Linked DNA regions of Danio rerio. The protein of the gene in region 7 purifies or fractionates together with the protein of the main gene of each other region. This does not show direct contact. Links are inferred from orthologs where the notes say so. Each region holds a gene or a part of one and is shown on either strand. Other genes may lie near its edges.

Evidence for each region.
Region 1: the proteins of ddx20 (region 7) and snrnp70 purify together in Homo sapiens (affinity purification with mass spectrometry; 4 studies listed by BioGRID and IntAct, counting the BioPlex papers as one, with this or other methods). This does not show direct contact. The link is inferred for Danio rerio from reciprocal best matches to the Homo sapiens genes DDX20 and SNRNP70.
Region 2: the proteins of ddx20 (region 7) and snrpf purify together in Homo sapiens (affinity purification with mass spectrometry; 5 studies listed by BioGRID and IntAct, counting the BioPlex papers as one, with this or other methods). This does not show direct contact. The link is inferred for Danio rerio from reciprocal best matches to the Homo sapiens genes DDX20 and SNRPF.
Region 3: the proteins of ddx20 (region 7) and gemin2 purify together in Homo sapiens (affinity purification with mass spectrometry; 6 studies listed by BioGRID and IntAct, counting the BioPlex papers as one, with this or other methods). This does not show direct contact. The link is inferred for Danio rerio from reciprocal best matches to the Homo sapiens genes DDX20 and GEMIN2.
Region 4: the proteins of ddx20 (region 7) and strap purify together in Homo sapiens (affinity purification with mass spectrometry; 3 studies listed by BioGRID and IntAct, counting the BioPlex papers as one, with this or other methods). This does not show direct contact. The link is inferred for Danio rerio from reciprocal best matches to the Homo sapiens genes DDX20 and STRAP.
Region 5: the proteins of ddx20 (region 7) and snrpd2 purify together in Homo sapiens (affinity purification with mass spectrometry; 3 studies listed by BioGRID and IntAct, with this or other methods). This does not show direct contact. The link is inferred for Danio rerio from reciprocal best matches to the Homo sapiens genes DDX20 and SNRPD2.
Region 6: the proteins of ddx20 (region 7) and ago2 purify together in Homo sapiens (affinity purification with western blotting; 3 studies listed by BioGRID). This does not show direct contact. The link is inferred for Danio rerio from reciprocal best matches to the Homo sapiens genes DDX20 and AGO2.

What each region holds. Positions count from the first base shown.
Region 1 is NC_133178.1:30,722,021-30,725,131, reverse strand, and holds the end of snrnp70 (U1 small nuclear ribonucleoprotein 70 kDa), read right to left. Parts: exon of another isoform or gene 2,921-3,111; coding exon 2,819-2,920; intron 2,307-2,818; coding exon 2,207-2,306; intron 2,119-2,206; coding exon 1,308-2,118; 3' UTR 501-1,307; downstream 1-500. Other genes in the region: lin7b (protein lin-7 homolog B), read right to left, coding at 146-182. UniProt on the Homo sapiens protein: Component of the spliceosomal U1 snRNP, which is essential for recognition of the pre-mRNA 5' splice-site and the subsequent assembly of the spliceosome. SNRNP70 binds to the loop I region of U1-snRNA.
Region 2 is NC_133182.1:19,364,171-19,368,129, forward strand, and holds the start of snrpf (small nuclear ribonucleoprotein F), read left to right. Parts: upstream 1-1,159; 5' UTR 1,160-1,346; coding exon 1,347-1,349; intron 1,350-2,210; coding exon 2,211-2,336; intron 2,337-3,959. UniProt on the Homo sapiens protein: Plays a role in pre-mRNA splicing as a core component of the spliceosomal U1, U2, U4 and U5 small nuclear ribonucleoproteins (snRNPs), the building blocks of the spliceosome.
Region 3 is NC_133192.1:14,292,407-14,296,645, reverse strand, and holds the start of gemin2 (gem-associated protein 2), read right to left. Parts: upstream 2,801-4,239; 5' UTR 2,691-2,800; coding exon 2,572-2,690; exon of another isoform or gene 2,551-2,571; intron 1,526-2,550; coding exon 1,444-1,525; intron 1,364-1,443; coding exon 1,274-1,363; intron 98-1,273; coding exon 38-97; intron 1-37. UniProt on the Homo sapiens protein: The SMN complex catalyzes the assembly of small nuclear ribonucleoproteins (snRNPs), the building blocks of the spliceosome, and thereby plays an important role in the splicing of cellular pre-mRNAs.
Region 4 is NC_133179.1:17,468,584-17,472,731, forward strand, and holds the start of strap (serine-threonine kinase receptor-associated protein), read right to left. Parts: upstream 2,801-4,148; 5' UTR 2,611-2,800; intron 2,457-2,610; 5' UTR 2,444-2,456; coding exon 2,332-2,443; intron 1,900-2,331; coding exon 1,764-1,899; intron 1,684-1,763; coding exon 1,602-1,683; intron 231-1,601; coding exon 158-230; intron 62-157; coding exon 1-61. UniProt on the Homo sapiens protein: The SMN complex catalyzes the assembly of small nuclear ribonucleoproteins (snRNPs), the building blocks of the spliceosome, and thereby plays an important role in the splicing of cellular pre-mRNAs.
Region 5 is NC_133193.1:43,804,206-43,807,054, forward strand, and holds part of snrpd2 (small nuclear ribonucleoprotein Sm D2), read right to left. Parts: intron 2,317-2,849; exon of another isoform or gene 2,247-2,316; intron 1,536-2,246; coding exon 1,356-1,535; intron 1-1,355. UniProt on the Homo sapiens protein: Plays a role in pre-mRNA splicing as a core component of the spliceosomal U1, U2, U4 and U5 small nuclear ribonucleoproteins (snRNPs), the building blocks of the spliceosome.
Region 6 is NC_133194.1:44,214,482-44,217,981, reverse strand, and holds part of ago2 (protein argonaute-2), read right to left. Parts: coding exon 3,344-3,500; intron 3,255-3,343; coding exon 3,095-3,254; intron 2,521-3,094; coding exon 2,430-2,520; intron 2,258-2,429; coding exon 2,063-2,257; intron 1,465-2,062; coding exon 1,330-1,464; intron 1-1,329.
Region 7 is NC_133183.1:30,195,673-30,199,950, reverse strand, and holds the start of ddx20 (probable ATP-dependent RNA helicase DDX20), read left to right. Parts: upstream 1-1,478; 5' UTR 1,479-1,650; coding exon of another isoform or gene 1,651-1,728; 5' UTR 1,729-1,796; coding exon of another isoform or gene 1,797-1,842; exon of another isoform or gene 1,843-2,003; intron 2,004-4,278. Other genes in the region: PAK4-inhibitor INKA2, read right to left, coding at 1,651-1,728.

The DNA.
Region 1 (3,111 bases), on a different chromosome or scaffold from region 7:
ACTGTGCGCCTCTCAGTGGTCACTGCTGCTGCTTGTTTAACAAACACAAGAACCAGCGAGTGCGTTAGCAACGCTATCAGCTTTAATATTTGCACAACGCCACTCTCCGTGGCTTGCACACAACAATGAGAACGGAGTAAATTACCTCTTTCCAAGCACAGCGGTTCTGTCATCGCCGCCATGTCCACCTCTTTCCCCGTATGATAATACGATGACATCATGAAGACTGCTGCAGTGGAGGACTGAACCGCTTTCAGCGACGTTATACCAAATTAATATTTCAAAACAAAATTTGAGATGAGCTTTAAGTATGTAAAAACAATATTGAAGGCGCAGACGATCCAGCTCTGATGGCGAGATGCGCGGGTCTGAGCGCTCGTACAGAGCGGCAGCTTACTGGATGACGCAAGACCACACGTCACAGGCGCGAGTTCAAGTCGTTTTGCAACCCACAAGCTCGTTTAACACCGTAAGATTTAAATAAATAACCAAAACACTACTTCGGCAATAAAAAAGTATTTATTCAAGAATTTAAAGCAGAACAAATACGACCAGATACAAACTGAAAAAACCTATACATAAAATTAAGAGCAATTTCTGTGAGACCATGGCAGACATTCCCATTTAAAAGCAGGTGTCATATTTTCTGCCTTTGTTCCTGCTGTAAAATAAGGGGCAACTGTACGATTTGTAAACGATCCATGTACAGGACCAAATATGAAACAAAATGTACATGATGAAAATAAAGTAGCAGAGAAATTAAAGGGAAGACCAATACAAAAAGAATGTTACAGATAAATGTACTAACCCATGAAACGTTACTATTGTACTCCGCAAACATCTATGAAAATGGACATAACAGTACTAAAACAACCCCAATAACTCCAACAAACAAATACTTATCTTTGACTGAAACTACACTGTATTATAATACAGTGCTTCAGTCAAGAAATCCCCTCCCAGTTATGGTCATTTGATATCAAAATAATGTTAGACAGGGAATTCAAATGCATCATTAAGCTAATTATTTACTGTAGTCCAAGCCCCAGAAATAGGTTTACCAGAGCTAAAAACATAAAAAAGCTCACAGTTTAGCTACATAATGTTTATTTTAACAATAGGACGCTTCTTACCAGGGAGACACTAAGCTCTCTCAGTGACAGCTGTTATTAGTACAGTATAATACTCACACGCTGTGGACAGTGCAAGCAAAGGGTGGAGGCATTAAATAATGGTTGAAGATATTTGTGGATCAAATCAACATTACATCTAGATAACCTACAATCATTCACACAACGATGGCACTTTTAGTACTCATCACCCTGGGCCTCCATCCTGTACCCATTTTCATTGGAGGCATAGCCCTCTCCCGACTGCATGGAATCCTGATCCATCATCATCATCCTCATCCCATCCTGTGAACCTTCTTCTGATTGCGGTGGCACTGGCTCTTCACCTTCTTCACCTCCATTACCCAAACCCTCATGATCTCCGGAGGAGGTAATGTGTCGATCTTCCCTTCGCTCCCCACGGTCCCGATCTCCACGGTCTCGCTTATGGTCACGATCTCTATCCCTGTCCCGCCTTCTGTCCCGATCCCTTTCTCTATCTTTATCTCGATGGCTGCGCTTCCTATCACGATCTCTTTCCCTGTCTTTGTCTCGATCCCTCCCCCTTTCCTCTCCTTCAGGTCCTCCCTCCTCACCTCGCCCTGGTTCACCACCCAAGGGGTCCTCTATGCCCCTATCTCCCCCTTCAGGCATCATGCCATCAACTAGCCCGCCCATGCCTTCCTCCCCTCCTTCTGCACCTTTTCCTCTTTCCCTGTCTCTCTTCCTATCCCTGCTCCTGCTCCTTCTCTTGCGGTCTCTATCTCGATCCCGGTCTCTACTCCTCTCTCTGCTTTCTCCAGCTCCAGCACCACCTCGTTCTCTTTCCCTCTCTCGTCGTCGGCTGCTGCCCCCAGCCTCATCCCCTGCAGCGGCCCTCTCACGCTCATGAGACCTAGTGTGCCTGCGTCTCTCTCTGGACCGAGAACGTCTGCGTTCTCCACGTTCCTTGTCTCGATCACGTTCCCGACTGCGTTCACGGCGTTCACCACGATCCCGATCGCGATCACTGCAAAATAAGACAGAGGTAAGGCCGCGTAAGTTCAGAAGATGAAAAAGCACCAACTAAAATTCTAACCGCCTCTCACACAGCGTACCTTCCAATTGGTCGGTCATCATAACGAGATGTGTCGTCTCTGCCAGAGTGCTTGATGTTGACATCTGCGCCTCCTCGCCTTGTGCCACCAAGACCCCCACCTGGAGAGTGAAGAAAAGAAATTTGGTTCAAGTAGAAAGTTTTGGGACCCAAAGGCCATGCTTGGGATAGGCAAGGTCCTCGAAGCCCACTGATAATACCCATGCAATAATATTGTTCAAAAGATCAAAGATGGAGCTGAACTCTGCAGGACAGTAGACCTTGAGCCAGATTTTGCCTGCCTTGATTTATCAAACCTATTTGCTACAAGATTAGCGGTCATTCTTGCTTTTGGTAGAGAATGATTCACTTGAAACTAAAAACCTCAAAGAAAGCTCTTTGAGGCATACTAAAGCCATTCCTAACCAAACTACAGAAGCCAACATTTAAAGGCGTTAAAAACCCATTTTTCAATAGTTTAGGACCAAAGTCGTCCTAAACTATTGAACAACATCCATTCTTGTCTTGGGACATTTTAGAAAAACTGAATCAAATGTTTTCAATACTTCAAACTGGACCTCCAGGCCTAGAAACAAACATGTGACAAGAGTGGGGGGAAAATAGAAATGCTTACCAAGTCGCCGGGGGCGCCATCCTTTTACCGTTCGTCCTCTTTCAACATCAACAAGCACTCTACGACCATCGATCTTTTTGCCATCCGCATGCTTATAAGCAGCTAGAAGAGTTGATAGATGAGCAATAGAAAAGTGGAGATTGAGAGGAAGGGAATAAAGGGGAGCACAGAGGGAAAAAAAGACACAGACAATGAGAACCATGAAGACACAGAACAGTATTTGCTACTACATACCTTGAATTTGGGATGAACTCCATTCAAAACATTAATCTATCAGAAGTCACACGCTTACC
Region 2 (3,959 bases), on a different chromosome or scaffold from region 7:
GTTGATGGCCAGTAGTCTAGATATTTATTTAGAGTAGGGGTACCATGTTTTTCATGATTTATTTATATAAATGGCAAATTTGAAATGTTAGTTGTCTCTGTGAGTGTATACTGCAAATGAAATTACCCTACAGGGACAAATAAATTAACCAACTAGCTAGCTAACTAACTAACCTAACTATATACACCCTCTCTGGGGAAGAAAATATTGTCCATCACTATCCACCACTGTACATGACATTTCAAACATGACCTCTTTTGAATAGATGGTAATGAAATGCAAAAACCTACTGGGCAAGTCTTCGGTTAAATGATTGATGTGGGATATTTGCATTTTTTTTTATTTATATAATTGAGGGTCAATAGTTTTGCAAAGCTAAATTACTGTACAAATCAAAGAGAAATTAGATGTGTTGTGCTTTCAAATACAAATCTAAAAGACTGTAAATGATTGCAAGTTTCCGTTCTCGTTGAATGAAATGATAAAATGATCCACTGCTGCTGTTTTGGGAGTTGTTAAAAATGGTACAAAATAAATATATAAAATAATTTATACATATTAATTTTTTTAAAGGGATAGTGATGAAATGAAATTATGTTCTCATTTACTTACCCTTCACTTGTTTATTTCTTCTGCTGAACACCAAAGAAGATGTTTGGAAACTGGTAACCATTTCTATAATATGATGAAAAACAAATACAATAGAAGCCAATAGTTACCGGTGTCCAACATTTTCGAAACAACAATACCAGTTTTAACATACTTCCAAATATCTTATTTTTGTTTTCAAATGAAAAAAAAGAATCTCATTAAGGTTAGAAACCCCTCAAGGGTGACTATATAGACAATTTTGAGGAATCTAAACAAAAGACAATGGTCCTTACGTATTTCCTGTTTTACATTTTAAATTTCTATAGCTTCCGAGAATCTAAAAAGAGCCACATATTGATAAATAATGTTATAAGAACTGTTTTAACATTAAGTTATGGTTGAATTGCCTCTTGATACAGCTGTGAAACAGTTTTATAACAAGCAGGAAATGTTTATGGGCCAACGACATCATCAAACGGAAATAGTTTATAGTAAGTACATTTTTATTTTTGGATAAACTATTTCTTTAATTTCAGACCTCCACTCCAGCTCAACTGAGGATTCACGGCTCTATTCCCCGCCTGTCCAGCGAGTGGCGCAGCGGGCAGATCCGCTCTTCTCTCCTGCCGTGCGGTCAAAGTGCGCTCGTAGTCCTTCCCTCTTTCGGCGGCAAGGCGTGCGAGTGTGCTGCATTAGCTTATACTATTCAAATAAACAATTTTTGTGTCTGAAAATACTACTTAAGTAATCCAGTCATGGTAAGTTCATCGTTATCTCTTTTATTTGTATCCAAACCTTCAGTTTGGCGAAAGAGCGTAGACGTTTTCATTCATAAATACGCTGATAATGCGGCTAGGTGTTAGCATCAGGAACGCAGACTGGACGTTGTTTTCAGTCATTTTCAGTGTTGTGTTAGAAATGTTGAGCTTTGCTGATAAATGTTCCTCCTTGTTCTCTTACAACCTAGTCGGTGACTCCCAAAATGCGATTAAATGATATATGTGTGGGAAAACTAAAGATAAAAACTAACGTTAAAGGAGTTTTTTCTGCTATTACTGATGCTTATTTGCAGCTAATTCTGGTGGAAACCAAAAACAATTAATGCTGTAAATTATTATATTGTTTTATTGAAGTTATACAATATATATATATATATATATATATATATATATATATTGTGTGTATGCATGCGTGTTTTGATTTTTTATACCACAAACTACAGTAATGAGAATTTGTCATTACAATTTAAAATGAAGTCATATCAATTGTATCTGTTTTTGTTTTGTTTTTATTATTTGTTTATTTTGCTTGTGTAAATTCATGCGGCTAGTGTCAAAACTTTTTACTAAAAGTTATAACAAGCTGATGAAGAAAAAAAACTAAAACCCAAAATGTAAATCTTTTTTTTTTTCTATTTGGTCAAATATGACTGAGCATCACCGGAGGCTATGCTAAAGTTTCTTCTAAGCTTTTCACTCACTTGAGAATAAAATCATCAACATTTGTAGTATTTTACTTCTTCAGGAACAATATTATGTTGACATGGAATTGTTTGAAAATGACACTTAGGGATTGATTTCGAATGATGTTAATTGTGTAACACTGATCTTTTCCCTCAGAGTTTGCCGCTGAACCCAAAGCCCTTTCTGAATGGTCTGACAGGAAAGCCTGTGATGGTGAAGCTGAAGTGGGGCATGGAGTACAAGGGCTACCTGGTGTCAGTGGATGGGTACATGAACATGCAGGTATGTTTAAAAGAGTTAACGATTCTATGAAAATCCAGCTCCTTAGTAGGAAGAAAATTTAAACTATTCTTTTTAACTCGAGACATACCGTTGTATATGCCATTATGGAGATGCTAGACACACACAGACATCTGCTTAAAGCAGAAGGTGGCCAAAAATGTAAATATTGTAATGGCAACCTAGCTGTCAAGCATATACACTTCATATGAAAACCTCAATATTTAGCAATTCTGAGTGTGCCTTACACAAGTGAGTGGGCTTTATAAACACTCCTTGACACACTTGCACTAGTTTTGTCTATTTGTACCAGACCCTCTCTTTCAACCACTTCATAGCTCTATAAAACATTGTGCATTTCTGAGATTGGTTCACACAGGTGAGTGGGCTTGACAAACCACCTGTAGAAATGCTAATCTCTCTAAATGCAAGTTTTTCTAGATCTCTTACAAGGACTTAATAAAAAAAAAAAAACAATGTTTACCTGTGACTGTACCACAAATTGTTTAACTGGTCATTTCCTTCAACCTTAAATGATCTCTTTTGCACAATATTGTTCTGTCTTATATAAAAGTACTTGTATAGTCTGTCTAAGGTTATGCGTAAAGTTTTTTTTTTTTTTTACTATTTATAGACCGTTTCAATGTGGTGATGCCATTGGCCCATGAATATTTCCTGCTTGTTGTCAATTCATATCTGTAACAAGAGGCGATTCATTCATAACTTATATAACAGCTATTATAACAGCTATTGTAACTATCAATATGTGGGACTTTTTGGACTCTCAGAAGCTACTGAAAATACAGTAGGACCATTGTTATTGTTTACATCCCTCAAAAAGGTCTTTAGTACATGTATAGTTAATTACTGCTCTGCTATGTAGTTATGTATAGGTTTAAAATCGCTCTTATGTCTATAAGGGTTGTTTATATTTATGATAGTTTATTTATGTTGCACTGTGGTCCTGCAAGACATTTCACTGTGTGTCCACAGATGTAGCGGAATGACAATAAAACTCAACTCGAGTTGATACTTTTGCAATGCCCTGTTTAAAATGTTTTAGATAACCATTTTTATCTGGAGAGTTCTTAAAGCAGGGATGTCAAACTTTGTTCCTGGAGGGCCGCAGTCTTGCATAGTTTAGTTGCAACCCTGCTTCCCCACACTACAGTTTGAGCATGTGAAATTCTGCCGTTTGGTGCTGCAAAAAGGGGCGGGATTAAACAAGCTGATTACGATTTGACCATATTTAAAATTTCTGTACAGAGAGGTCGTGTTTTGATCTTCTATTGGTCAGAGTTCACCAAGCTTTAAGTTTCCAACACATCGAACTGCGAAACTTGTGGCACGAGCTTGCGTTTCCTGTCTAAGGCATTTACTTGCTAATAAATGGAAGTCTATAGGGGTGCAGTGTGCCTGCCGCTTTACCTGTAGGTTTCAAACGACTGTAGGACTCAATTAGTTTGATCAGGTGTGGTTAATTAGGGTTGGAATTAAACTGTCCAGAGCTTTTGGTCCTCCAGGAATTGAGTTTGACACCTGTGCCTTAAAGCAACTATTTAAAAAAAAAAAAAAAAAAAGTGAATCTTTCGAAGATGGTAGAATTAAACTATTTTAAGTTTTTAT
Region 3 (4,239 bases), on a different chromosome or scaffold from region 7:
AGATTTAATTTAAGCCCAATAATAAATAAAGTCCTACCATGACAACATTATCATCCAAAAACTGAGCTTTCCAATGCTGACGATGCTTGTTCACACTCTGAAACAAGAAATATATGGATGAAACAAATTACAAAAACAAATTCTAAAAAGTCTAAAAGTACTTAAAGGGATAGTTCAACCAAAAAGAACATTTACTCTGTATTTACTCCCCCTCAAGTGGTTATCAACCTTTATGAATTTCTTTCCTCTGTTGAGAGGCATTTTGAAGAGTGTTGAAAACCTGTAACCACTGACTTCCATATTAGGAAAAAGAAATACTGTAGTAACAACAAATTCTAAATACTACTACTAAGTCAATAGTTACAGGTTTTCAGCTTTCTTCAAAATAAAGGGTGAGTAAATGATGACAGAATGAAATATTAAATGAAAGTTGTCATCATTTACTCATCCTTTATTTTGAACAAAGCTGAAAACCTGTAAAACCTGTTTTTTTTTTCATCTGCTAAACACAAAAGAATCTATTCTGAAAAATGTTGGAAAGCAGTAACCATTGACTTCCATAATATTTGTTTTTTTTTACTATGGAAGTCAGGTTTCTAACATTCTTTATAATATCTTCTTTTGTGCTCAACAGGAGCTGAGCCGAAAGGCAAAGCTTTCGATTTACCGGTCAATCTACGTTCCTACTCTCACCTATGGTCATGAGCTTTGGGTCATGACAGAAAGGACAAGATCACGGTTACAAGTGGCCGAAATGAGTTTCCTTCGAAGGGTGGCAGGGCGCACTCTTATGGATAGGGTTAGGAGCTCTGTCACCCGGGAGGAGCTCTGAGTAGAGCCGCTGCTCCTCCACATCGAGAGAACTCAGCTGAGGTGGTTCAGGCATCTGTTTGGGATGACTCCTGGACGCCTACCTAGGGAGGTGTTCCAGGCATGTCCCACCAGGAGGATGCCTCATGGAAGACCCATGACACGCTAGAGGGACTATGTCTCTTGGCTGGCCTTGGAACGCCTCGGGATCCCCCCCGGAGGAGCTGGAGGAACTGTCTCGGGAGAGGGAAATCTGGGGTTGTCTCCTAAGACTGCTGCTCCAGCGACCCGGCCCGGAAAAGCGGCAGAAAATGAATGAATGGATTTGCTCAACAGAAAAAATAAACTTGAAAAAATTTGGAACCACTTGAATAATAGTAACATTCATAAATAATGAGTAAATATTCATTTTTTGTGTGTGAACTATCCCTTTAAAGAAACTAATGTGGTTAATATTGAACACCTGTCTGACTTCTGAAAATCTGCTGACTTGTTGCTGCTGCCATTTAAAGCTGGGTGAAAAACCCTCAGGTGCAGCAAGACAACCTGTGATCTGAGGCAAAAATAATGGCACAGTTATTTTACACATTACAGAATTTATAACAGATTATTCAGTTCACTTTTCCCACTTACAGACACATTCACTGACTGTTTCTTCAGCTTCTTTGGATCAATTTGTGCCACAACAACATCTGGACACAGAGATGCTTCCCTCCTGTAAAATATACAGTAGTCGATATTTAAACAGGGTCTTTTTATTAAAGTTGCCCGAAAACCATTGAACAACACCCACTCTTGTCTTAGAACAATTTCGAAAAGCGTTTTCAATCCACTTGTAAAATGCTGACTACTATAATGTTCATCGAACAAGAGTCAAAGTCAAGCATAGTTTCATCAACAAGAAAAAGCTAATACAGCTTTAAAGTAGTTTTGTTTTTCCTGTTGCATTAGAATGTGTAAAATAACATTTTTTACAAACAATATTTACAATAGTTATTCTGTGTAATAGTAATTTATTAGCCAAAAGCATTAAAGTGTAGCCCCAAATCATATTTTGTTAGTGCCACTGTCCTTCGGATCACTAGTTTTACCAATTTGATCAATTAGTTCAACGTGCTAAGCATTGGGTAACAAACTATGAGGTTCTAGGTATGAAACCAGCATAGAGCCACAATCTTGACGGGCGGCACGGTGGCTTAGTGGTAACCACTGTCACCTTACAGCAAGAAGGTCACTGGTTCGAGTCCTGGCTGGGCCATAAGGCATTTCTGCGTGGAGCTTTAATGTTCTCCCCGTGTTGGTGTGGGTTTCCTCTAGGTGCTCTGATTTCCCCCACAGCGCTCTCTCTGTGAGTGTGTGTGTGTGTGTGTGTGTGTGTGTGTGTGTGTGTGTGTGTGTGTGTGTGTGTGTGTGTGTTTTTAGCTGGTCATCTCCCAGCCTGCCCAGCTAAGACCAGGCTGGAAATGACTGGAAACCAGCCTGCAAATGGCCATAACCCCTCTCAAACAAGCCTGGTCAACCAGCTAAAACCAGCCAACCAGCCTAGGCTGGTTTAAGCTGTTTTTTTTTTCCAGTAGGGTTTAACAACATAAGTACTGTTTAATTGACTGAATAATGTTGTACTTTAGTAGTCATTGGCAGCTAATATGATCTCCTTCTTTACAATTTGCAAATAATACTTTTCTAAAACTGTATTATTGATGAGAATGTCTGAATGTGCGAATATTAAACCAACTTTACCTCAATAGCCGAAAGACTTACTGGACAAATCTGAGATATTCCTGAGGGTTTCTAGGCGGCTCGGTAAGAGTATATTCCTCTGTGTCGCAGGAATCCACTGGCAGGAGTCTGGGCATCAACTCCTCGGCGTCTGACTTCATCTCTTTGCCTTATTTTTTATGCACGACCATCAAAATAAATCAACATGCTCACTATTACGTGCATGTCAACCTCTCCATTTTGAAAACATTGGACACGAGGATGACGATCAATAGACGCGACGGTTCTTTTATTCACTCGCTTACAGATGGAAAGATGTGTAGCGACATCTGTTGTTTAGGAGAAATGTGAAGGGTAACAACATAAAATGGTGGAGAAATATTGTACAAGTAGAATATTTTTTATTTACTCCCCAATAAGGTTAAATAAAAAGGAAAAATTATCAAATAAGAGCTGTGTTTTTTGAAAACTCTACCCCTTCTGCTATCTCACATTGAAACGGTCTTTTTGATTATTTAAACTGGGGAAATATATGGTCCATACATCAAGTTTTTCCTTACTAAAAAGGTAAAGGAAATATCTTTTAAATTATTACATAACATTTATCCTATCAAAAATGTCTTAAAGAAAAGATTTGGATCATACTTTGATACAAATATCTCCTTTTGTCAGATTAACGCTGAAACTCCTCGCTTATTTTGGTCATGCAATTGTCCAAATATTACTTTACAGCATTTTTCTGTGACTACAAAAGTCATTTTTGGTGTTTTTTATAACAAAGTTTAATGTCTACTTTAAAATAAACCTTTTTCTTTATGCAGATTTTATGTTCATAAATGTATATTGTCAATGTCAAGTTGCAAGCTAACATTTCTAGCATTTACAAGAGATTAAAAATTACTTACAGTTCCAGATTCACTTAACAAGAAAGTACTCAAAGCATACCATTTGCACGACCTTTATAATCAATTAAATCTCTAAATTGCTGCTTCTTATTTTGCCCTCTTCACTTTCAATTTTTTTTAAATCTATATATCTACCCTCAGATCAGATGGCCTATTGATATTTCTTTGTTTTTTGTTTGATTTCTGTTGGTTGTTCCTCTTTCTTTTTTCTTCTTTTTCATTCTTTATTGGCACCATTGTAAATAATCTAATGATTATTATTGTAAATGATGTGCACCAAATGTATCTTTCTGTAATACAGTAAATGTATTTAAAAAAGATAAAGAAAATATTACACAGGTATCCCTGCCATCTGTTCATTAATACATTTTAAAAAGACATTTCATCAGAATGTTTTAAACCTGAAAGTCTCCTACATCTATTTTGTGCTTGTACATTTATTGACGACTTTTGGAAACTGGTTTCAGGGTTAATTTTTTACTCAGTTTATAATAAAATTATATATAATTAACTTGGATGAATGCATGATTCTTTTTTAAACTGAAAACTGGCCATGATACACTCGGTAATGCTTTGAAGTTGATTATTTTTCTTGGGACGTTTCACATACACAAGGCAAAATTAAAGTCTATAACCCTCTCCTTCAATTAATTTATTTTTCTTATAAGTTTGAAACAGGCAACGCAGTGGAGCAGTAGGTAGTGCTGTCGCCTCACAGCAAGAAGGTCGCTGGTTCGAGCCTCAGCTGGATCAGTTGCCGTTTCTGTGTGGAGTTTGCATGTTCTCCCTGCGTTCGCGTGGGTTT
Region 4 (4,148 bases), on a different chromosome or scaffold from region 7:
TCATTGTTACACCACAGTGCTTTCTTTATGGCAGAAGTGTGGCCTGCAATCTCCTGGGGTTCTGCATTACAAAAGTTACTTTTTAAAACCAGGTTTGCATTTATGAAAGGAAGCGGCTATCATCAAAGCAAATAAACTATTATTTAACTTTCAATACCTGCTTCAGGTTTGCTGAGGTCATAGATGCGCAGTACTTTATCATTTCCTCCAGTCAGGAGATAGTTACTGTCCTGTTGGTTCAACACATGCTGGTAAAAACTCCTAAATGAAATTACTCTGGCAAGTTTACAGAAAGTGACTTCATTTACATGTAGTAATCGGTGATCAAATGATTTGCCTTGATCTGAATAAGACAATAAAATGTTTAAGGTGTTTACATGAGTTACTTTTTGAATATTGCTTTCATGATCCCTTTTTACATGCTATAGCACATAGTTTGATTAACGTTGTTGCGTCATCGTGCTATCCACATTTGCTCTGGAGTTTCATGTAATTTCGGGAGTTTTATTTTTATTTTGTTGACTTTAACTGCAGTTTGGCACTTTCATTCAGGAATAATTCATGCATGCCCCCATGACAAACGAGATTTTGGATTTTGGATATTGGTTTTTTAAAAAAAAAACTCAGCATTTCGCAATGTACACTGTAGATGTCTGTGGTCCTACTGACTTGATAGTGCAGAGAATAGTGTCAAACAGCCGTGTGTATATAGACTGTCCCATTGCAAAATGTGGCAAAAACCCTACACAACGGTAATAGTTTGATTGCGTTTACATGTCTTTACAGTGTCAATGATGTGACTAAAACCGGCATATGCCACGTCTTAATTACATTTCTGTAGAGTTTGATTATGACCTTAATCTGATTAAATTAATGAAAAATTTCTGTTTATATGGTAGAGTCTTAATCAGAGTATTGTCTTAATCGTATTAAAATTGCATTGGTATCCTTGTAAATGTACTGAGTGATTGAACACATGGGTTACTATTGTTCCAAACTTTATTTCATTTTATTTATTACTTTATCTATTGTGGTTTAAATTTAATAAGGAAAGTCCCAGTGACATGCTGTTTCTCCTGTCAGGGTTCACATTTGAAAATGAAGCTAACTGAAACATTTAGTTATGAAACTTTACTGATTGCCGAAGTAAATTATGAGAATCATGAAGCAAATTGAGCCAGCATTCTGTTAACCCGTGGTTTTGAATGACCACAGGTTAACTATTTTAAGTAAGATCATTTCATAAACCAAGTGTTGCATAAATAGTCTGAATATCTCAATATAGATCAGTATTATATCTTACTAAAATTGTTGCAAAATGTTTTAATTAGATACTAGAATAAATTAATGACTTATTCATTTGTTCATACAAGTAGTTTAAAATAAATACATTTAGCCTGTTATGCCAAAGTTGCATTTACTTATTCAAAAATACAGTAAAACTAATATAAAATTATAATAATTTAAAAAACCCACGTTGTGCATAAATATAATTTGAAATGTATATCATATTCCAAGATTACAAAGTCAAGATTTCATCTGCCATAACTCTTGGCTTACACAATTTTGCAGAACTCGTTCTATACATCAGCATGGAATACCTGTGTAAAGTTTACAGACTTCACAATGTGCTTGTGCGCCAGGGTGAGGACCTCGTCTCCAGTGACAGCATCCCATACCTTCCTGTCAGATTCATAAGAAATATAGAAAGTAAACTCATGTTTCAACAATAACAGTTCATCTTTTATTCCTTTAACACTTACGCTGTAAAATCTGCTGCGGCCGTTGCTGCTTTTGTAGCTTCTGTATTCAAGGTGGCACCCCAGACAGCACCCTTGTGACCCAAGAACGTCCCAATCCAGTCCCCTGTGTCACCCTGGCGCAACATAGGTTTGCCATCTGCAAAATTTGAACACAAAAACAAACTTATTTGACAGATACATGACATATGCACACACTTATTTTAAGAAATGCTTACTTTTTAAGCACACTGCCCTGCAAATGTAGGTAAAAATGGTTTTATATTTAAACTTTCTCCTTAATTTTATTTCAGAAAAACATTATTAGCAAGTTATAAATAGCAAAATCATATTGTCAGCCAATGACTATCAAAGCACAACATTGTTCACAATCAAGTAACGTGATAATGTTGTTTTGAAGTCATAATTAAATGTGATTTCAAGCCGAATATTCAAAGTACCATGGTGAACAATATAGGGAGCATGTCACAAGTGGTCACTGCATGAATGTGCAACTATAAAACCAACAATGCCCTGCAATGAGGTTGTGTTTACTGTGAAGAGTTGGTTTTAAGTCCAAGTACATACAAACCTTTACAAGCACTAATGAGGAAATATCCATAAGGAGTTATTCCACTGAACGCCAGATCCACAACAGGTCTGGTGTGACCAGAGCAGGTGAGAGGGGTCTGTCTCATGGCCATACTTACTGAGGACCTAAAAAGATGACAGGACACATAAGCAATTGTACTGAAACATAGCTACGTATTTCTTAAAATTCAAGTATCAAATAAGAGATGTACATATGAAAAATCAGAACAGGTGTGCTGGCTAACACAAGCTTGGCTAGTCAAAGAAAAACAATCATTACCTTGCAAAGCTAGCAAATCAACGTCACACACTAGTACTTTGCGGCCAGATTGCGTATCGGGGATGATTGCGGAGCTGCACTCCCAGCTACAGTGCTGTGCCACCAGCTACACGAGGTGTGTGTGTGTGAGTGTGTGTGTGTGTAAGCTAAACTCGAGCCCTCGCTAACGCTACAGGAACATAATGGAAGCACTAGTGTGAAAGCCCGGCCATCATTTCCGGCCCGCGACGCCACGGGGATTGGACAGAACTGGATCACGTGACCTGTCGTAGCGTCGGTTGAGAAAGCGTACATCCCGTTTTTCTACCAATGGACGTGTATGTACAAATAAAGTGCTAACATGTGCTGTATTATGTTTAAATTCCATTATCTAATATGTAATATCTGGGATAGGAAAGATTCTAGCGTTAATATGAAGACGCTTTCTCAGTACGAACTACAAACGAGGAAAGTTACTACTTTGACACACTTCGTTTATCAGTGTTGTTAACGGATGGTTATATAACTAACGTTATGGCAAATGTGAGGAAATAACATGTTAATAATAATAATAATACTAATAATAATAACAATAATAATAATAATCAGTGCCATAAATCAATAAGCTTTACGCTATTTAAAATATATATAAGGTAAACTTTCTGAGCCACGAAGCGCCCCCTGTAGGTAAGTAACATCTGCACAGGATATAATTACTATTTGAATAGAGCGGTCAGGATAAATATTACACATGGGCTGGTTGCGGTAAAAATGCTTTACATTCAGACATCTCAATGATAATTTTGCGTGCAAGCCTCACTGGTATGTCTACGTGTGCTCTGATGTCATGATAACCTCACTGTCATGGGACACACCTGTTTTAAATGACTTAGAGCAATTTCTGGAAAAACTCACGGAGTTCTTTGAATATTCTGAAGGGATGTGCAGGCAGGCAGGCACGTAGATAGATAGATAGATAGATAGATAGATAGATAGATAGATAGATAGATAGACAGACAGACAGACAGACAGACAGACAGACAGACAGACAGACAGACAGATATAGATAGATAGATAGATAGATAGATAGATAGATAGATAGATAGATAGATAGATAGATAGATAGATAGATAGATAGATAGACAGACAGACAGACAGATATAGATAGATAGATAGATAGATAGATAGATAGATAGATAGATAGATAGACAGAGAGACAGACAGACAGACAGACAGACAGACAGATAGATAGATAGATAGATAGATAGATAGATAGATAGATAGATAGATAGATAGATAGACAGACAGATAGATGATAGATGGATGGATGGATGGACGGACGGACGGACGGACAGACAGACAGACAGATAGATAGATAGATAGATAGACAGACAGATAGATAGATGTTTTATGTTCTCATTGCAATGTCTATTTAAACGTCATCCAAATTAAAGGCAGTGCTTATGACTCATTAATCACAGCTTTTTGCAAATCTTACATAATTGCATCTCTGAAAATCTTGCTAAAGGCCATTAGAGATGAAGATCTACTGTAAGCAC
Region 5 (2,849 bases), on a different chromosome or scaffold from region 7:
TGCAATCTGCGTGTGTCACTTGGTGCTCTCTCTCGGTGTGTGTTTGTGTGTGTGTGAATGAGAGAGAGAGAGAGAGAGAGAGAGAGAGAGAGAGAGAAAGAGAGTTGCTGGGTGTTGCTTGGTTCTCTCTCTTCTTTTTCTCTCTATCTCTGTGTGTGTGTGTGTGTGTGTGTTTGAAGAAAGAGCGTCCTACGCAGAAGAATACAAACAAGACAAACAGGTGACCGCAAACCTAAGGTCGCATATACGGTATCAGTTTCTGAATGGTTTAGGCACAATTTGGTGACGCTGTCTGAGCCTTACGTCGTAATTTTGTTTATTATGCTTGGTAATACCGGATACCTGGTTAAAATAGGGAGGAGATTTGACGGTATACCGCCGGTTGGATACCGCCCAAGCCTAGTTTATATATTATATATCTTATATATTCATGGTTTATATATTATATAGGAAAAGTTAATAATATGTTTATATATTAAATATCTTATATTAAAAGTTCATATATTATATTGTAATAGTTTATATATTATATAGTAATAGTTTAGATATTATATAGTAATAATTTATATTATGTTTATATATTACATGGTAGTATTGGGAAAATATTCAGCAAAATCATTAAATAATTCAATATAATTTATTTGTAGCAAATAAAATACACATCTTAGCAAATCCTATAGCAAACAGGAGACACAAGCATAGGTTATGTTGACACAAAATGCAACTATTACTCTGCAGATACTTTGTTCAGAAAACTATTGCAACACAGATATTCAAAAGTTTAATCATATCAACACAAGCCTGTGCATGTAAACTAGGGCTGCACAATTTTAGAAAAATTTGATAGTGTGAGATTTTAATTTGCAATAAATGTTGCAATATGGGATACAGTTTTAGAAGAGAATTTAAATAGCACTGTTTGATGGTTTTCAATAGAGTCTAACAGTATTCAGGTACAGAAATTAAATTCACAGAAATTAATCACAATGTAAAAAAAAATAATTTTCTTGCTTTGCTTTGTCTCATTACTAGTGGAAATATCTAAAATTTTTGAATCAAGTAAATATAGTTTTGTTTCACTTTTACTTTGTTATTTTTTTAGCTTTGAAATGTAAACATTTGGACTAGAAACAAGCCAAAAATGATAAGAAATGCTTTATTTGCCTAAATCCTGTATAAATACAGTAATTAAACACAATTCTGTCGCTCTTGGTCAACAAAATTCTTGCATATTTTGAAATGTGACTATTGCAGATGCGAACATTGGGATATTGATGCTGACACGAAATATTGTGCAGCACTAATGTAAACAAAGCCTGCTTGCATTATTTATCACTCAAAATGACACGAGTTACCTGTCGAATGCTTTGACTCTGCCCAGCAGCTTCTTGTTGTTGCGGCAGTTGATGAGGACCTGTGTGTTGTTTTTCACAGACTGGGTGAGCACTGAAAGTGGACCGGTGTTAAACTCTTCCTCCTCTCGCTTCTGGAGCTCCTCTGGAGTCATCTCAGATTTGGGCTTGTTTAATAAACTCCTGATGAGACATTTCAACAGTTAGCATGTCTGCATAAAGGGCTAAAATTTACATCGGCCAAATTACAATTGAGGTGATTTTATATTTGCATATTTGGATTTCCTCTTAATAATAATAATAATAATTTAAGAAAAGCATTATTTCTTAATTCTAAATGGGGAAGTTATATTAGCAGTCAATGAATATCAAAGTACAACATTGTTTACAGACAATAAAATAGTGCTAATGATGTTAAGTCCTACTTGGATGCGATTTCAGACCGAATATTCAAAGTTGAAAGGTAATTAATGTAGAAAACCATGTCACAAGTTGTCACTGAATGAATATGCAAGTATAAAACCCTAGCCATGAGTACTTTAAAAAAATAGCCATGTTAATATAGGCTTACTTTTGCATACTTTTTTTTTTAAAGCAATTTTATCTCTTCATTTACATTTACATTTAGTCATTTAGCAGACGCTTTTATCCAAAGCGACTTACAAATGAGGACAAGGAAGCAATTTACACAACTAAGAGCAACAATGAATAAGTACTAAAGGCAAGTTTCAGGTCTGTAAAGTCTAAGAAGGGAAGTGTTAGTAGTTTTTTTTTTTTTTTTTTTTTGTACAGTTAGTGTGATAAGACAATTGAAGACGCTGCAACTAAACCTATGACCATACACCACTTTCTTAACCCTGTTTATCGTCTGTGGACAGAACCTCGAAAGGCTCTTGGAGATACTGGGGATTGAACCCAGGACCTCATACATGCAAAGCATGCGCTCTACCACTGAGCTACATCCATTCACACTGCAATAGTAACATATTTAAATTGAGGAGAAGTAAAATTTAAATTGACACATTCATTCAGAGACAACATGTGACACAGTCCCTATAATATTTACATTGAGGTAAAGTTGGTTTTATATTCTACATTGGGAAATCATATTAGCAGACAGCCAATGACTATCAAAGTACAACTTTTTCACACACAGTCAATGAAATACTGCTAATGTTGTTTTGAAGTCATATATGCTGTATTAGACAGAATATTCACAGTAGCATGGAAAGGAACCTGAACTAGACGCTAAGGTGGTTCACTAAATGAAACTGCTCCCGGATTATTTAAAGTAATTTTTAAAATGCTATTTTTCTTATGTCAGCGTCAAAGATTCATGTAAACTTTAAATCTTTAAACAGATGCCAGTTAGGTCGCTCCATGCAAATGAACGGAAGTGCGCATCCGCGGAGGTATGACAAACTTCACAGCGTGTGTAAATATCATCCCCGGTGAACACGGTGAAGATGAGCAGCGAGGAGACATCTGATAAACAAG
Region 6 (3,500 bases), on a different chromosome or scaffold from region 7:
TTGTAGCCTTTCAAAGTATATTCTACTTGCTTAAATAAAATACTTTCAAACTAAAGATAAAAAAACTTTTGAATGCTGGAGAAAATGTGGAAATGTAATGGCAGATCATTTCCACATATTTTGGGATTGTGATACACACCTATTGGCAAGATTTGAACAAAGAGATAAATGCAATAATGGGGCTGAATCTGGAATGTAATTTTAAAACTATGTACCTGGGAATTTACTCTTCAGTAATACCAAAAATGATGCACACCTTCTTAACATACTTCTAATAACTAGAAAAAAGGTAATTACAAAGGTAATTACAAAGAAATGGCTCAAGGAAGATCCTCCATCTGTAGGTGAATGGCATGATATTGTAAAAGAGGTGTATGACATGGAAGTACTGACATTTTCATTGAGACAACAAGCCTACTAAATTTCTGCATACAGGGGTAAATGGTTGAGAAGAAATCTACTGTTTTAATTTTATTGTGGTACTTTATTTTATATATATCTGGAGCCTGTTGATCTTTGATATGTAACCCTTAACAAATATATAGCAACATTTTATCAACAATAAATACGAAAGTAAGATTGTAATCGGTGGACTTTGACATTTGTATTGTATGTCTCTTTGGTTTCCATGTTTCCTTAAAAAGTATTTATTTTACTGTTTTTAAAACAGATTTTTTTTAAAGTAGTAGTATATTAGTAGTCTACTCCATTTAGTAGATTGGAAAAACACATGCTAAACACATAGGCACTTGAAAGATTTGCTAATGTCCAATGCATGTGCTTTGTCACAACAAAAATTCATGAGGGATAAAAAAATGTCTTCATTAGTTTTGCCTCCATATTTTTGACTGTGAAACAGCCTGATTTAGTGTTGACACCTTGTGGAACAATTTAGTAGTGCAACAAAATATTCAAAACGCATGCAAGCTGCACATAAAGTGTTCTGCATGTGGATGACAAACCTAATGCACACATTTAAAAAAAAACTAGAGCTTTACTTGGTACTTGGTTCATTGGCCCATGAACATTTCCTGCTTGTTATAAAACTATTTCATAACTGTAACAAGAGACGATTCAATCATAACGTCATGCTAAAACAGCTATCATGACATTATTTATCAATATGTGGCTCTTTTTAGATTCTCGAAAGCGATAGAAAAATGTAAAACAGGAAATACGTTGGGACCACTGTTTTTGTTTACATCCCTCTAAACGGTCTATATTATTTTCCCACTGTTACACTTTGAATGCAGAAAGTTATCATCTGTGTGTAAATGTGTGATTCCCTCCAGTGACACCTGTATGGAGATTAGATGCATAATAACAAACCCGTTCGTTCCTGTCCATGCAGAAGAGTCTGGTGTGGTGTCTCTTCTGTACTACAACGAAGGTGATACCCGGCTGATAATCTTTCTCCAGCTTGATGCAGGCCTCACGAATAGCCAGCAGCTCATGCTGTAGAACCTGCAAGGACGAAACAAGATGACAACAATAAAAGGGGAGGCATTGTGCCCCTTTTTACAAGAAGTAAAATAAGTCTCTGATGTCTTTGGAGAATGTGTGCAAAGTTTTCAGATTAAAATACCACACAAATAATGTTTGAAACTGCCCCTTTTAAGCTTTGGTCATAATTGTGCTGATTATGTGGCTGTCGCTTTAAATTCAAATTAGATTGTGTTGTTTTCAAAAGAGGGCGGAGCTACAAATGTATCAGCATAGTAGCAGATAAAAAAAAAGACTAAAGTCCTATGCTAATGAGGGTAAGATCTTACTAGTGGGCGGGGCTTTCCCCTCTGATGGCACATATAAAGGGAGACTGTCAACTAAAGTGTTACATACAAAGGGAGACTGTCAGTCAAAGTGTTTCTGCAGTTTTCTTAGGTGTGATTATTAAAAAAAAATAGAATTAATAAATTTTTATCATTAGAAGCTGGTTTTATTCACAGACTGTTACCACACAAACCCCTTACAAAATAAATTTTTGCATAATAGGTCGCCTTCAAATAATACATTGCAGTACTACTTAGCATGTATTAACAAGAGATCTTGTCCTGCAGCTTACCTGGTTAAACTGGCCTTCAGAGATGCCGTCTCTGTAGTAGATGATGCGTGTTGGTTTGAAGCGTGTGGATTTGTAGAACTGGATGAGTAACTCTCTGACCATGGTTGCCAGATCCTGAATGATGTCCTGCCGGTGCTGCTGCACCCGCACTGTGGCACAGTATCTGCTTGGGTGGGCATCCATACTGCCAACGACCTAAATGCCGTACGTGTAAAATTATTATACTTAAAAACATTTCTGAAACCCATTAAAAGCCTTAAATCGTGTACTTCAAGTAGAAATTGGTCACATTTGTGGTATTAGCACTGCTTGGCATTGTGCAATGAGCATTATCAGCCTTAAAATATCAGAGGTTTGCCAGGCTTACAGCAGCAATTGAGGGTTTCTTGCCATCTCCAGCTGGTGGATGAGTCACATCTGCACCCAAAAAGATAACTGGTTGCTGGAACACCAAGGGCCTAAGACAAAAATAAATAAATAAATAAATAAATAATTAAAAAAATATATATAATAACGAGTGCAAAAAAATTAAAGTAAAAAAAAAATAAAATAAAAAGTAAATAAAAAGAAAATAGCTGTATTATTCTGTCATTTTGAAAGGATGGTTCAAACAAAAATCTTAATTCTCTTATCATTAACTCATCCTTAAATCGTTCCCAAACTATTCGACTTTTGGTTAAACTTTGAAACACAAATTAAGACGTAATGAAATCTGTTGAGATCTCTGTCCTTCCATTGCAAGTCAAAGTAACTTAGACCGAAAAAGGTCAATATGGTGTAGTGAACTCAATTCATATTGACTGAGCTGCTATAAATGAATATAATTGCTTAACAAAATAAAGTGAGATAATTTTGTTCCCAAGAATAACCCAAGTCTTACAGGTTTGGAATGATCAATGGGTGACAGACTACATATTTTCGAGTGAACTAACCCTTTGAGTTTCATGGGAAAGCATCAAAGGACGTAAAGGACAACAAGAAATTGCCTCAAGCTTTCTGCATGTCAAAGGCATTTGTAACAGCTGCCCTCACCTGCCCTGTGGAAGAAGAATGTTGTTGACTCCACCCAGTTTGACGTTAATCTTGAGGCAGAGGTTAGAAAGGGTTTGAGGTGTGGTCTTCTGCACATTCTTCACCTGGACACACTGCGTGGCCATGCCGAGAACAGTGTCTCCAACACGCTTCACCTCAGCTGTAAGAATTTTAGCATTTAGAGTGTGTAAAAAATACACTAAAGATATGAGATGAAAAAAAAAATAATAATAATAATAATTAAATTACCATAAACAGGAGTCTTGCCGGGTAAGATGACCACCACCAACTGTAACCCTTGATAAGTGTACTTGAGGTGTTTGAACATGGGCTCCACACTGTCTGCTCCCTGGGCATATTTGCAAAAGCACGGCTGGCCCTGAATGGGCATCCCAGCATCACGTGA
Region 7 (4,278 bases):
GTTTTTACTACTTACTTTGTTATTACTTACATTATGGTTATTACTATTGTTATTATTTGTCTTTTTTGGCTTTTCACTGTAGGGCTAGGTGATTAATCGTAAAATAATCGGAATCGATGTCCAGAGCCTATAACGATCTAATTTTTCCAGGTAATTTTTTTCAATTACTTTCCCTACCATGTGTGGAGTCATGTGACCCCACTCTGTTATGGCTGATTTATACTTCTGCATTGAATGCACAGGTATGGTGTAGGCTGGCGCAGCCTTCACTTGGTCACATACCCGCACATCTCTCAAAAATTTAACTACATGCTACATCTTTGCATTCCATTGATGATGATTGGAAGCTGTGCCAGACATGCCTTGAGACGGCATATTTTTATTACAATAAAATGACCATTTACATTAAAATATTTGTTTACAGAAGGTTCAAGAAATGCACTGTTTACAATATTATTTACAGGATATAAAATTAGATTTTATTTAAAAGTAAAACTGCTTACTCTCAACTTTTTTTTAGCCATTGTGTGATTTAATTTCTTTTGTTCAACGTTGATGTTCAATAAATTATCATATATAGTCAGTAATGTGTGTTTTCCTTCAATTATTTTAAAATCAAGTAATGCAGCCTTCATTCAGAAATCTCTTGTAATATGTGAGCATATTTACTGTACAAAACTTGTCAGTGAATTATGAAGGCAAAAAATAAAGTGAACAAATAAAACAATCTTTTAGTAATTGTAATTGAGTTAAATGTTCAATTGGGCCAAATCGCCCAGCCCTAATTCACAGTATTGTCTGGATTATGGAGTGTTAAAAAGGAAACCCAAATTTTACTCAGTGAAAGCCTTTTATTCAAAAAATGTAAGAAAGAATTGTGAGGCTTTATTTACCATTCAAATTATTGTGCTGCAAAAGTATGCTAATAAGCACATATTTGATCAAACTGAACAATTTAGAAAATTTGCAATACAAAAATAATACAATTCATTATGTAATTACGTTAACCAGCGGGGCAGAGTGTGGTGATAATGAAGTGTTTTTACCCTATAACGTTAAAAAATACCCCTAAAGCATTTATTAATCCTAGTTAACATTAAAATATCTAAATATTATTAAATAAAAGTAAATATACAAACAGACATCAACGCAGATTAATAAATACCTTTTGTATAAGTTAGCTTACTTAATACTACCTACCATGTGTTCCCAAAATAAATCAACATTACATTAAAATGATCGGTTGTTGTGAAATATTAGTCAAGCACGTTTTTCTGGTGGTTTTTATCTCATATAGTTTTTGCTGTGTGATGGTCGCACGCAGACACTCAGAACTCAAATTTTAAAACATTACAGAAGACATAGTGCCAGCCAATCAGCGGCTTCCTTTCAAACAGCCGCTTCCAATCAGGTTGCACCTTTCTCACGCTGCACGCACCGGCACGCAGCCAACAGCTGGATGAACGTCAACAACTCACCGCAAACAAAACAGATAAGTGAAGAAGAACCGAGCCGGTGAAACGCGCACTAATTTGTTCATAACGCGAAGATACAATAATTACATACACGTACATATCAAAGAATACTGTTAACACAGAACCACACCTGTGCTGTGAAAGTAAGTGCCGATTAAGATCAAGAAAATCTCACCAGTTCATTTCTTAGACGATGAAGGTTGCTCTTCATGTCATCGATATCCGTTTTCCCTTCCTCCATGTTTGCCGACATAACGTTACAGAATGAAATTATTTTAATGCTACAAGCAGGTTGATTGATTTAAATCTCCATCCAATTTGATGTCGCTGCCGCTAAGATCTTTGGTTTCCTTCGCTTTAGTTTCAGGTCAGTGATGAAGTATAACCAGCGTTATGTTAATATAATATTCCTTCTCTAGCCTCTGACACTCTTCACATTACATATTCAGGAGACATCCGTGCCCCCGAGCAGAAGGAGGCACTGATGTGGTGTAAAAGAGCTGATGATTTGAGGGAAAGTCCCTGAATGGGATTAACTAACGGTTGTCCGTCAACAAAACAACTCTTGCTTTCGCTCCAGTGGTCAGTTCAGGAAGAATAGAGGGTTCGTGCATAACAATAGAGGGACAATCGTACAACTTTAACTGTGCTTTGATTGGATTTTAGACGGGGGGAAGAGCCTTAGTCCGTGTTAGGAAACTGTGATTTTGTTAAATATACATGTATATATATATATATATATATATATATATATATATATATATATATATATATATATATATATATATATATATATACCATACATTTACATATGTTTAAGATTAATTCATTAATTAATTATTTTAGAGATGGATTCTTTTTATAAAATGTGTATTATTGACAAAAGATCCTATAGACAATTTCAATGAGGTCATGTTATTGGCCCTGTGGATCATGAGCATTTCCTGCTTGTTATCGAACTAATTCAGAACTGTAACAAGAAGCAATTCAATCATAGCTTAATGTTAAAACAGCTATCATAACTTTATCAATATGTAACTTGTTTAGAATTCTTGGAAGCTGCATAAATAAAAAATGGTTGGACCATTGGACCAAATAAAAATGGTTGGGACCATTGTTTTTGATTACATCCCTTAATATGGTATTGAAACAGCTTATTCAAGGAATTACTCAGTTTAAATGAATTTTTTTTGGTATTCTGTTACAACATTGTTATTGCCATATGCATTCTTTACAAAAGATAGCCTTTGTAAACCTATTAGGTTTCCTGTATATAGGTTTCCTGTTAAGTTGTTTTCATATTTTTCAATATTATAATGTATTAATTTAGAAGAAGACACCCACTAAAATGTGTTATTTACCAAAAAAATGTTTGTCAGGTCAATTTAAAACAAAAATCATGTTGCATGAAACATATTAAAAGACTATTTCAGAATCACACAGTGCAGCCCCAAATAGTTTTGTTAGATGTCATATTAAATCTTTGTTTCAGTTACATCTGTGTTTTACCAATTCAGTAATTAATAAAGTAATTATATTACAATTTAGCACGGTCGCTTATTCATTTATATATTTAATTAAGAATACTACAGGTCACAATAATTACCGTTTTACAAATTCTATAAAGTTTTACAGTGCCCAGCATAATTGATTATTCCCCATCTTGAAACTGAATATTTTTCTCCATTTCTCAGTGAATATAAGTAATATATTTTGGTGCATTTGAACAAAACAGGTGTATTAAACAGAAATATTTAATAAAACTGTATTTTAGTCACCAAACATCTTTTGATATAGAAAGATAATACAATTACAGTTTTTCTCAGTGGCTTTGGCGCATTTCTCAAAACACTTTTTACATTTGCACAACAGTTAATGCGTTTCTCAAAACAATTAGTACAAACTGAAAAACCTGGTTGATAACCTGCAAAAGCGCGTCACATGCTCAAATAGATGTGTTTCAAATCATCAAATGGATAGCTCATTCCTCAAAAGCAAGTATTGATGTCAATGAAAGTGTCAGTGTCATCAAGATGAAGTCCTGACACCATTGTTTATGAACAAGATAGTCAAATGGCTTTGTCATGATTTCATTATGACAGTTTACTCTGTAACTGTTTTCCAAAGTCAGATTTTGGTGACACTGAAAATCCTCAAGAAAGCACTGCATTTGCACAGCCATTTGAAGACTACAGTAATCCATGCATTTAGTGAGGTATCTGAGTACAACACACTGAATATGCATGATTCACTTTTTTACTGCATGTGCTAATATCTAATTCTAACTCTATTTATTCAACGCATTGTGCAAAAGAATAAATACACTCTTATTCACAACAAACAAACTTTCTTTGGGTAGAGCTCTGAGCCTCTGCAAAACTGTAAACAATATTGCAGTACATATTGGTACTGAAGCTACAACATACATACTGTAAGTCTGTAAATCATTATTGAAATTGATCAATTTAGAAGACATTTTCAGGAAAAAAAAAAAGATTTAAAGATTTGAATAAAGTTTGCTTGACAGATTTTGACTAGTTCAATGTTCTTGTATGTAATGACACAAGTAATGAAATGAGTCTGTTATGGAATGACTATTCAGCATTCACAAGTTCAGTTTATTTTGACTGACATGACATAAGCAAATGATAATGATATAAACAGCAGAGAGTTGTATGAAAGCAATTGTAGCATGTCCAAAAGCTCTTGCAATTTGTTGGAAGGAATTAGAAACTGCTAATATCATGTGCACAAATCTCTAATTGTTTTTGAGAAACTCATTAACTGTTGTTCAATAGTGTAA